Nothobranchius furzeri: one gene and its partner. The protein of the gene in region 1 interacts with the protein of each later gene in a pairwise test. Links are inferred from orthologs where the notes say so. Each region holds a gene or a part of one and is shown on either strand. Other genes may lie near its edges.

What was found.
Region 2: the proteins of npat (region 1) and hinfp interact in a two-hybrid assay, tested with the Homo sapiens proteins (2 studies listed by BioGRID). The link is inferred for Nothobranchius furzeri from reciprocal best matches to the Homo sapiens genes NPAT and HINFP.

Annotation. Positions count from the first base shown.
Region 1 is NC_091753.1:29,162,502-29,166,314, reverse strand, and holds part of npat (protein NPAT), read right to left. Parts: coding exon 3,803-3,813; intron 3,723-3,802; coding exon 3,626-3,722; intron 3,547-3,625; coding exon 3,436-3,546; intron 3,233-3,435; coding exon 1,973-3,232; intron 1,427-1,972; coding exon 1,338-1,426; intron 1,258-1,337; coding exon 1,179-1,257; intron 1,110-1,178; coding exon 1-1,109. UniProt on the Homo sapiens protein: Required for progression through the G1 and S phases of the cell cycle and for S phase entry. Activates transcription of the histone H2A, histone H2B, histone H3 and histone H4 genes in conjunction with MIZF.
Region 2 is NC_091750.1:47,350,887-47,355,337, reverse strand, and holds the start of hinfp (histone H4 transcription factor), read left to right. Parts: upstream 1-1,594; 5' UTR 1,595-1,727; coding exon 1,728-1,881; intron 1,882-1,958; coding exon 1,959-2,185; intron 2,186-2,388; coding exon 2,389-2,500; intron 2,501-2,577; coding exon 2,578-2,730; intron 2,731-3,521; coding exon 3,522-3,599; intron 3,600-3,762; coding exon 3,763-3,883; intron 3,884-3,966; coding exon 3,967-4,105; intron 4,106-4,239; coding exon 4,240-4,364; intron 4,365-4,434; coding exon 4,435-4,451. UniProt on the Homo sapiens protein: Transcriptional repressor that binds to the consensus sequence 5'-CGGACGTT-3' and to the RB1 promoter. Transcriptional activator that promotes histone H4 gene transcription at the G1/S phase transition in conjunction with NPAT.

The DNA of each region.
Region 1 (3,813 bases):
GCCTGTCCTGGCGATGGCAGCGCGGGACAGAATCATGAGGGTGTGTGCAGCCATGTTAATGCTATTCTCGCTCCCTGCTTCACTTGCAGGGCTGCAGGTGGGTACATCTGAGGCGTTTGGAGGTATTAGGTGCCTGGGGGTGCTTTCACCCTCTTTGCCTTTTCTGTGTCGGGATGGAGTCCTGGGACAATCAGCTGGAGTTTCAATGGTTCGGTCCGTCCCAGGGAGACGGAGCTCTGGACTGCCAGCACCAGGTTTTTTGACTGGAGTGGATGGGGAGCCGAGTCCTTGCAGCATTTCAACCGCCTGTTTGGCCAGAGAGCTGGCCTTTGATGGGGGCTTTGGGGTGTTAGGTTGGGTGCGAGGGGACGGCTGTGTGACAGCTGGAGGACTGAAGTCTCTTGATGCAGAGGAGGAAGGCGCCGACGGCTGCTGCGGCTCCGGCACGCTTCCCTTCATCTCATTCTCCTTGTTGGAGCGAACGTTAGGCACCTCCTGGGAGGGAGTCCTCTTTTCTGGTCGCCCCTCACGTAGCCTCGCAGGAGCCTTGTCCGCCGCTTCTTTCCTGCTGCCCTCTTCTCTGTCCTTTCTGCTTCCTGGTTTTAGTGCAGACTCATTGGACCTGGACCCACGAGCATCTTTAGCTTTAACTCCACCGTTACATCCATCAGCTGTTGATGCTTCCTCTGGTTCGGACCGCTTCTCAGCTTCCGGATCTTTGTCGTGAACGCTGTACACCTGCTTGCGAGCGTTCTTTTTAACAGAATCCTTCTGCTGCATCTGTGGAGGGACAGACTGTTTCAGCGAAGTCGCTCCGGCCCGAGGAGCAGATGTACATTGGACCGGCGCTATCCTCCGTTTGGGTTTGTTGCCACCCAGAATGTTGGGTTTTGTCCTCCCGTCCTTCTCAGGCTGCTGCTCAGGTTGCGATGCAGATGTTTTTGAGGCAGCTGGGGAGGTTTCAGTTTCAGTTGCTTTAGCAGACTGTGGCTGAATTTCAGGCGACGAGGAATCAAAACACAAAATCCTCTTGTGGCTGGAACTTTTCGTTGCATCCTGCTGGCGCGACTTTTCACCCTGAACCACGGCTGCCACCCTTTTATCAGCTCCTGGAACCACAGGTCATCAGAGTCAGACGTTGAGTTGAAAGGGCTGCTGCGGTTTCATCAGTAACTCACCTGAAGCTGGTTTGGTTGCCACTGTGGTGGGACTGGATTCTTTCTGCTGTACTGGTGCAGGGTTTGATGGGTCAACAAGCTGCAAATCCAACAATGAGCCGAAGCATCAACAAAATGATCGACGTCCGTTTCTAACCGTAAACAATAACGTAGGCTTACCTGGAGCTGTGTTCCTGCTGCGCTCTGCCCCAACACAGAAACAGGAAGCACCACAGGCTTCATGGGTGATGGGAGGATAAATGCTGAGCCTGCACAAAACAAAAAGACATTTTATTCTAATAACTCTAATCACATAAAAGTTGTGAAAAATACCCTAACAATTCTATCCATAAAGGACAACACATATGTGATCCCTCTCCCGCAGCATGGACTTAACTTCCTTTATTAATCTATGAACACCCTTTCCCCCTTTTTGGTACAAAAATATCCCGTATAAATGATCAAATACGCTTTATTACTATAAAAAACACTTATCTCTAATTATCTGCAGTTTGCTTTCCTATAAGACTATTTTTGCAACATAAATATCTTAATTAAATCCTAGATTATTTTATTTCAAATTAAAATCACAGATAAATTTAATGCAACACATAAATAATAAAATAATTTCTTTGTTGCAAATGACATTTTTATCCTGTCAGGATAAACTTTCTCTGAAACCACAAGTTTTAATTGTAACTTGTTGCACATAAAAACAACACCTGCGCACCGTTTCCTAACATCAATCACTGTTACGTCAGACAAACTAGAGGTAGTTCGAGTCTATTCAGGAACAGCTGAAGTCTTGCTCTCACCTGTGGAGAAGCTTTGAGGGTATATGGGCGTCGTCCCCCTGTGCTGATTGGCAGGTAAAGGTGAGCCATGTGAGACACCAGCAGGAAGTAGCACCTGTCTGGGCTGAACATCTGTAGTTGGAGTCAAAAGGTAAAAGCTGGCAGCAGCGGCTTGCAATCCGGGGCTGGCGGCGTCCACGGGAAGCTGAACTATAAATCTCTGCTGGTTCTGAGGTGTCCCGACGAACGGAGCGGTGTTGACTGCTGCAGCTTTACAGCTGAGAGGAGTGCCACATGCCTCTGAGCTTTGCAGGCCACTCACAGCCTGCGCCACCTCATCATAGTTGGCTTTTGGAGTGGCGGGGCACTCGGGGGACTTGGCTGGGGAGGAAAGGTAGATGGTGGGTATCTTGTCCCCAGAAATGCTGGAGATAGCCCGACTCAAGGCTGCGTCGCTGGAAGCATCCTCATCCTGGCTGTCACTCACGATGATCTTTAAGGACACCATGTTGCTGGAGTCTGTCGCCATGCATAAGGTGGAGGGGTGGGTGGCTGAGGGAGTGGGCGTCGCTGCAACCGGAGCACAGGAGAATGCAGGTGAGAGAGGAGTTGCTGAGGTGGATGAGGCTGGTGCAAGGATGGGAGCCGATGATGATGGCGAGGTAACTGTGACTGAAACAGCTGTAGCAGGGACAGATGATGCAGCCAGTGTGTTTTCAGTGGCTGAACCTGATGGACGAGGCGTGCAACCAGCCACTGAACTAAAAAAATCAGGCTGATCCATCACAGGAAAAGAAATTATTTTAGACAGTTGCTCATTTGATGTTTTGTTTACATTTGAGGCATCTGTAAATGTGGTGGGACCGTCGGCTGAAGGCACGGGGACCGATTTACCCAGACAAGAGGCGGTGGAGGTGCTGGTGTGCTCCTGAGAAACCAGACTGTCTAAAGGAGGGGGAGGAGGTGTGTGCAGCGGTTCATCAATATCCATTTGTGTTACACCCCCACTATCAATCAGAAGATTAGGTTTTTCTTTCCTCCCGGAGTTCAGTGCAGCAGATGTGGCCCCTTGGGGGTCCCCGTGAGTCACCAATAGTCTGGCAGAGCTGTTCTCAATCCTGGAAGCCCGGCCGCCGGAGTCCAGGACAGTTTTTTTCACTACAGTGGACACGGTGGACTTCCTGGTCTTACGCTCTGGAGCAGCCCTGATCTCCGGAGCAGCCCTGACCTTTAAAGCAGCTGGCTGGATGCCAGACACACTGGCGTCAACATGTGTTGGACCTGAAAAACAAATAACAGTGATACAAATTTGAGATTCTGTCTACAAAATCATAATCGGATCACTTCTTAAAGCCTTAAGCAGACAGAAAAGAATGCTTTCTAATAGGCTGCTGCAGCTCCATGGCAACAAATCCCTTTAACTTTATTTGTATGGCTCATTTTAAAACACAAATATAAATCAAAACACTTAAAGACAAAAATACCCTCAACATGACTCTGAAGGGGCTGGACAGCAGATGAAGCTTGAGCTGCCTCATCCAGACTACTGCCCGTGTGTCCATCAACTGCTTCCTCATCAGGTGATTTAGTTTTATCTGCAAATGTAAAATCATTTCATCAACTTTAACAGAGCCTTCCCAGGACTCGGAATAAATAGATGTAGATTATAGTTACTGTAATCAAAGAGGTCAAAGAGGGCCTGAAACGCTGGATCGGACTCTGTTTGCTCCAAAATGTCATGAATGGCGTCATCACTCATATGGATTTCCCCCTGATAAAAAGATACACACTTAAATAAGTTTAGCATCACACAAATAGGATCAAAAATACTATTCTAGGCCATTTTGGCACCTGAAGTCCCA
Region 2 (4,451 bases), on another chromosome or scaffold:
TGTGCTGATGGTGACACGAAACCTCTCTTTAATTTATAACCTATAGGGCATGTTGTGATCTGTGGGGGAAACCGGAGTACCCGGAGGAAACCCACGCAGGCATGGGGAGATTACGCAACTCTGTGCAGAAAGGCTGCAGCCGAGTTTCGAATCCGGAAAATCTTTGTGCTGCGAGGCAACAGTGCAAACAACTGCACCACCATGCAGCCCATTTTTCTTACCGTTTCTGTGATAATGTGGTTAAAGTGCCCGCTTGAAGGTTGAAAGGGTCTTCTCATAAATCACAGATTTGGAACAGTTTTTAAAAAAAATGTGTAGCATTGTTTTCAATGGCGGCATCAGTCGAAGGATTCCAGAAACAGTTTAAAAAAAGAAACAAATCGATAATGCTTTCGATGCCCATGCTGTAAAACACAGAGGAGGAGAAGTTCCTTTGTTCCCAGAGCTGTGCTTCTTCTTAATTCTCAGTGCAGATAGGGGGCGTGTGCATTACTTGTATGTGTGCGTGCATATAGTTACATGTGTGTGTGTGTGTGTGTGTGTGTGTGTGAGTGAGCCAAAGTTTTAATCATTGTTGGTCATTCACATGTGAGTTTATGATATGATTGTGTATATAGGTTTTTATGGGTTTTACAAATGTGTAATTTGGATGTGTTTTTAGAATTTAGAGATTTTAGTGCCGGCTGCTTCACAATGCTGTCTCGAATTGCCCCTCGGGGACTAATAAAGTTGTCTTGAGTCTTGAGTCTTGAGTTTCAGAACTTTTCAACGTTGGGTTTGTTTCAGTTAAAGAAAAAGAAAAAAAACAAGCTGCTCTCACGCTGCTGCTGGCTGTTCATTACACCAGCCCTCTATGTGACAGCACACGGGGTTTGGGGGCCCCTCTGTGGCCCCCCGAGCCGCCTATTGAGCACCACTGATTTAGTAGATCCTCCTTTTGCAGAAATAGCAGCCTCTAAACTCTTCCTATAGCTTCTAATGAGAATCTGGCTTCTGGTTGAAGGTGTTTTGGACCTTCTCCTTTACAACACATCTCCAGGTGTGATGACGTCTGTGCATAGCCAGCTTTCCTTAACTCACACCACAGATTTTCAGTAATATTCAGGTCGTCTCTGACGGTTCTCACCAGTCTCCGTTTCTGTTAAGCCAATATTTTTCATTGGTCTGTCTTTGACTTTATATTTTTTTGTTTAAAAACATCTGTACTATTTCAAACCTAAATGGATTATAAGACGCTTTAAGAGTCCATTGTTCCCTCTTCGGTGGGAAACTCCCACTGGGTTTAAATCTGGGACTCTCCACCATTTGACCTTAGAACTGAAGAAGCCTCTCGGATGAGAGGCGAAACTTCTTCAAGCAACTTAAAGAAGTCCAGACGCTTTTCTTTCAAGCTCCTTAGACTACATTGACCTGGATGACTGAGAACCTTCACAGACATAAGCTAAATTAACACGGAACGATGGAACTACGTTGTGTTTCAGCCGGTGATCATATGCTGTTGCACACAACCCGCGCGTCTGGTAACCGATCAGAAATAATGCATCTTACCCACGTAGCGCCTGTTGTCAGATAATTTAATGCTTTTAAAGGTTAGTTTATTTATTTTTTCTGCCCGTTTTATCTGCTGAATGTTTCAGACGCGTTTCAGTTCTGCTCTGTGGAAGTTAGCTCGCAGGAAGTAGCGGCTAGGAGTCAAACGCAGCCTTCCGGCTAACTGACTCCGAGAGATGCCTCCTAAAAGGCGCATTCAGAGAAAAATGCTCAAATTGAGCTGTGAATGGGGTTCGTGTCAGGAATTATCCAGTCAGATGGAAAACTTTTGTAAACATGTGGAGGAACATCTGACGTGTTTGAACACGGAGGAGGACGTGGAAGCAGGAGGTGAGTCCACCTGATTGAAACGTCATGTCTGTTTAGATTTTAAACAGCCTGGTTGTTGTGTTTTTTTTTCTGTCCAGAGGACAGAATGTGTCCCTGGAGAGACTGCGGGTTCTGCTCTGTTGATGGGTTTGAAGAACTTCGCAGACACCTCCTGTTTCACTGCTACCACACCAAGCTGAAGCAGCTGGGTCAGCAGGTCCTGGATGCTCAGCCAGAGCTGGGCAGCTGCTCCATCGCCTACCACAACCGCAACATCATCCCAGACATCCCTGATAACTTCATCTGTCTGTGGGAGGATTGTGAAGTGAGACGGGATTCATAAACCAGTTTCCGTTAATAGTCTTCTTCCAGTATCTTGGAATTGTTCATACGTATTGATCATTTTCTTGGATCCATTGCTTGTTTTGATTCCAGACTTTTCCCCTACTTTTTCCTCCAGACTCACAAAAGTAAACAGCTTCCTACATTTTACTTCTAACTTATTTTATCTTTTTGTCTTTGTTAAAGCAACCTCCCTACGAAAACCCCGAGTGGTTCTACCGCCATGTGGAAATGCACTCAGTGTGTGTAGATATCCCAACTGGAGACAGTGAGTTCTCCATACGCTGTGGATGGAAAGGTATTTAACATCTCAATATAATTATTTACAGTCAGAATTATTCAGGGCAGTACTTAAAAGGGGATCTTGTTTTGTAGATTGTGAAGCTACGGCTAAAGGGCGTCCGAAGCTCAGGGAACACCTGCGTAGCCACACCCAGGAGAAGCTGGTGGCCTGTCCGGGCTGTGGGGGGATGTACGCCAACAACACTAAATTCTTTGACCACATTATACGACAGAGTGCTATGGAAGGTAATTTCTTACAGTCATTGTTTTCGAGAAAATGCTTGGCCAAGAAGACCGTAAAGAAAAACAATAAGTATAATACATAACATCCATGATCTTAACCGCTCCATCCTCACTAGGCTTACGGGGAGCTGGTCTCTGTCTCTCGTGGTCATCGGCCTGGATAGGTCGCCAGTCCATCACAGGGCCCCATATAGACCAGTGACACACTCACTCACTTACCGGTATTCAGCGTATGTAGATGATTAACTGCATGTGCTAAAACAGAGCAGCAAGAACAACTACATACTTTTTTTCTATAAGGTGATCCCAGTACAGAGCTCTGAAGAGCTCCCTTGGTAATGAGAGAGACTCAGCATAGTGGAAACAATGTGTTTGAGCTGACCAATCACTTGAAAACTATCACATTGAAATAATAATTTGTGTTCTGCTCTCCAGTGTATTGTGGTCAACTGACACTTAAATCAAATTCATATGAGCAGAAGTTGTTCTAAACTCTTCAGCTTGTCATCGTGTTTCTTCCTGAGTCCTAACTGGTGTTTAGAAATAAGTGAACTGTTGTGTGGTAATGACTTCCGTTGCCCACTAAGCATTTAAATCATTTTCACCAAAACTCACTATTTAAATGTGAGGCTGTAGTTAAAATCTGAAATATCTTCTTTTTAATTCATCTTTTATCACAGGACTGAGACCTCGTTATTCAAAAAAGAAAGATTCAAATTACAATTCTGTAGCTTTGTAATAAAATGTGTGTGTGTGTTTGTGTGTGTGTGTGTGTGCGTGTGTGTGTGCTGTAGGTCAGAGATTCCAGTGTTCTCACTGCTCCAAACGTTTTGCAACAGAACGACTGCTGAGAGACCACATGAGGACCCACGGTGAGTCTTTGAAACTGTGATCTTTACTCCCTGTCCACCATTAATCTGCCTAGCAACCTCTTTATTGAATGTTAATAAGTTGTAAATAAAAGCAGCTCTGTTTCAGTAGTCTCAATGTGGGAAAAGTAATCAAGTTACTGGTTTGTTTTTCCTGTTGGGACAGTGAGCCACTACAAATGCCCGTTGTGTGACATGACCTGCCCATCGCCCTCAGCACTGCGCAGCCACATCAAGTTTCGCCATAGCAACGAGAAGCCCTACAGCTGTGACTATTGCGAATACAGGTATCTCTTCTTCTTTGTCTGCTCACACTCGGATCATTAAGGTGAAAGCTCCACCTGATGATGCCTGCCTCTTGTTTTTGTAGCTGTAAGAATCTGATCGACCTGCGTAAACACCTGGACACCCACAGCAGCGATCCAGCATTTCGCTGTGACGTTCCCGGGTGTGGCTTCACCTGTCGTTCGTCCTGCACCATGAAGATCCACAACCAAAAAGAGCACGAGGTGAACTTTGGCAGCCTTATGGGGTGAGACGTTCTCACCACCGGGGTTTGATGAGGAGAAAGTTTAAGACTTTAAAGCTCTCACAGATTCTTCTTATTTTAGATGATAATGTTTTATTTTCTCCCTGAAACCAGAAGAGTTTTACAGCTCGCTACAAGTGTCACGTGTGTGGCCAGTGTTTCACCAGAGGCAACAGTCTGACCGTCCATCTGCACAAGAAGCATCAATTCAAATGGCCTTCTGGACACCCCAGATTCAGGTTGGTCTCCTGCTTCAGCAGAAGTTCCTGTTGTGTATTTTGTATGTGATGTCTTCCATCAACCTGTCAGGTACAAAGAGCACGAGG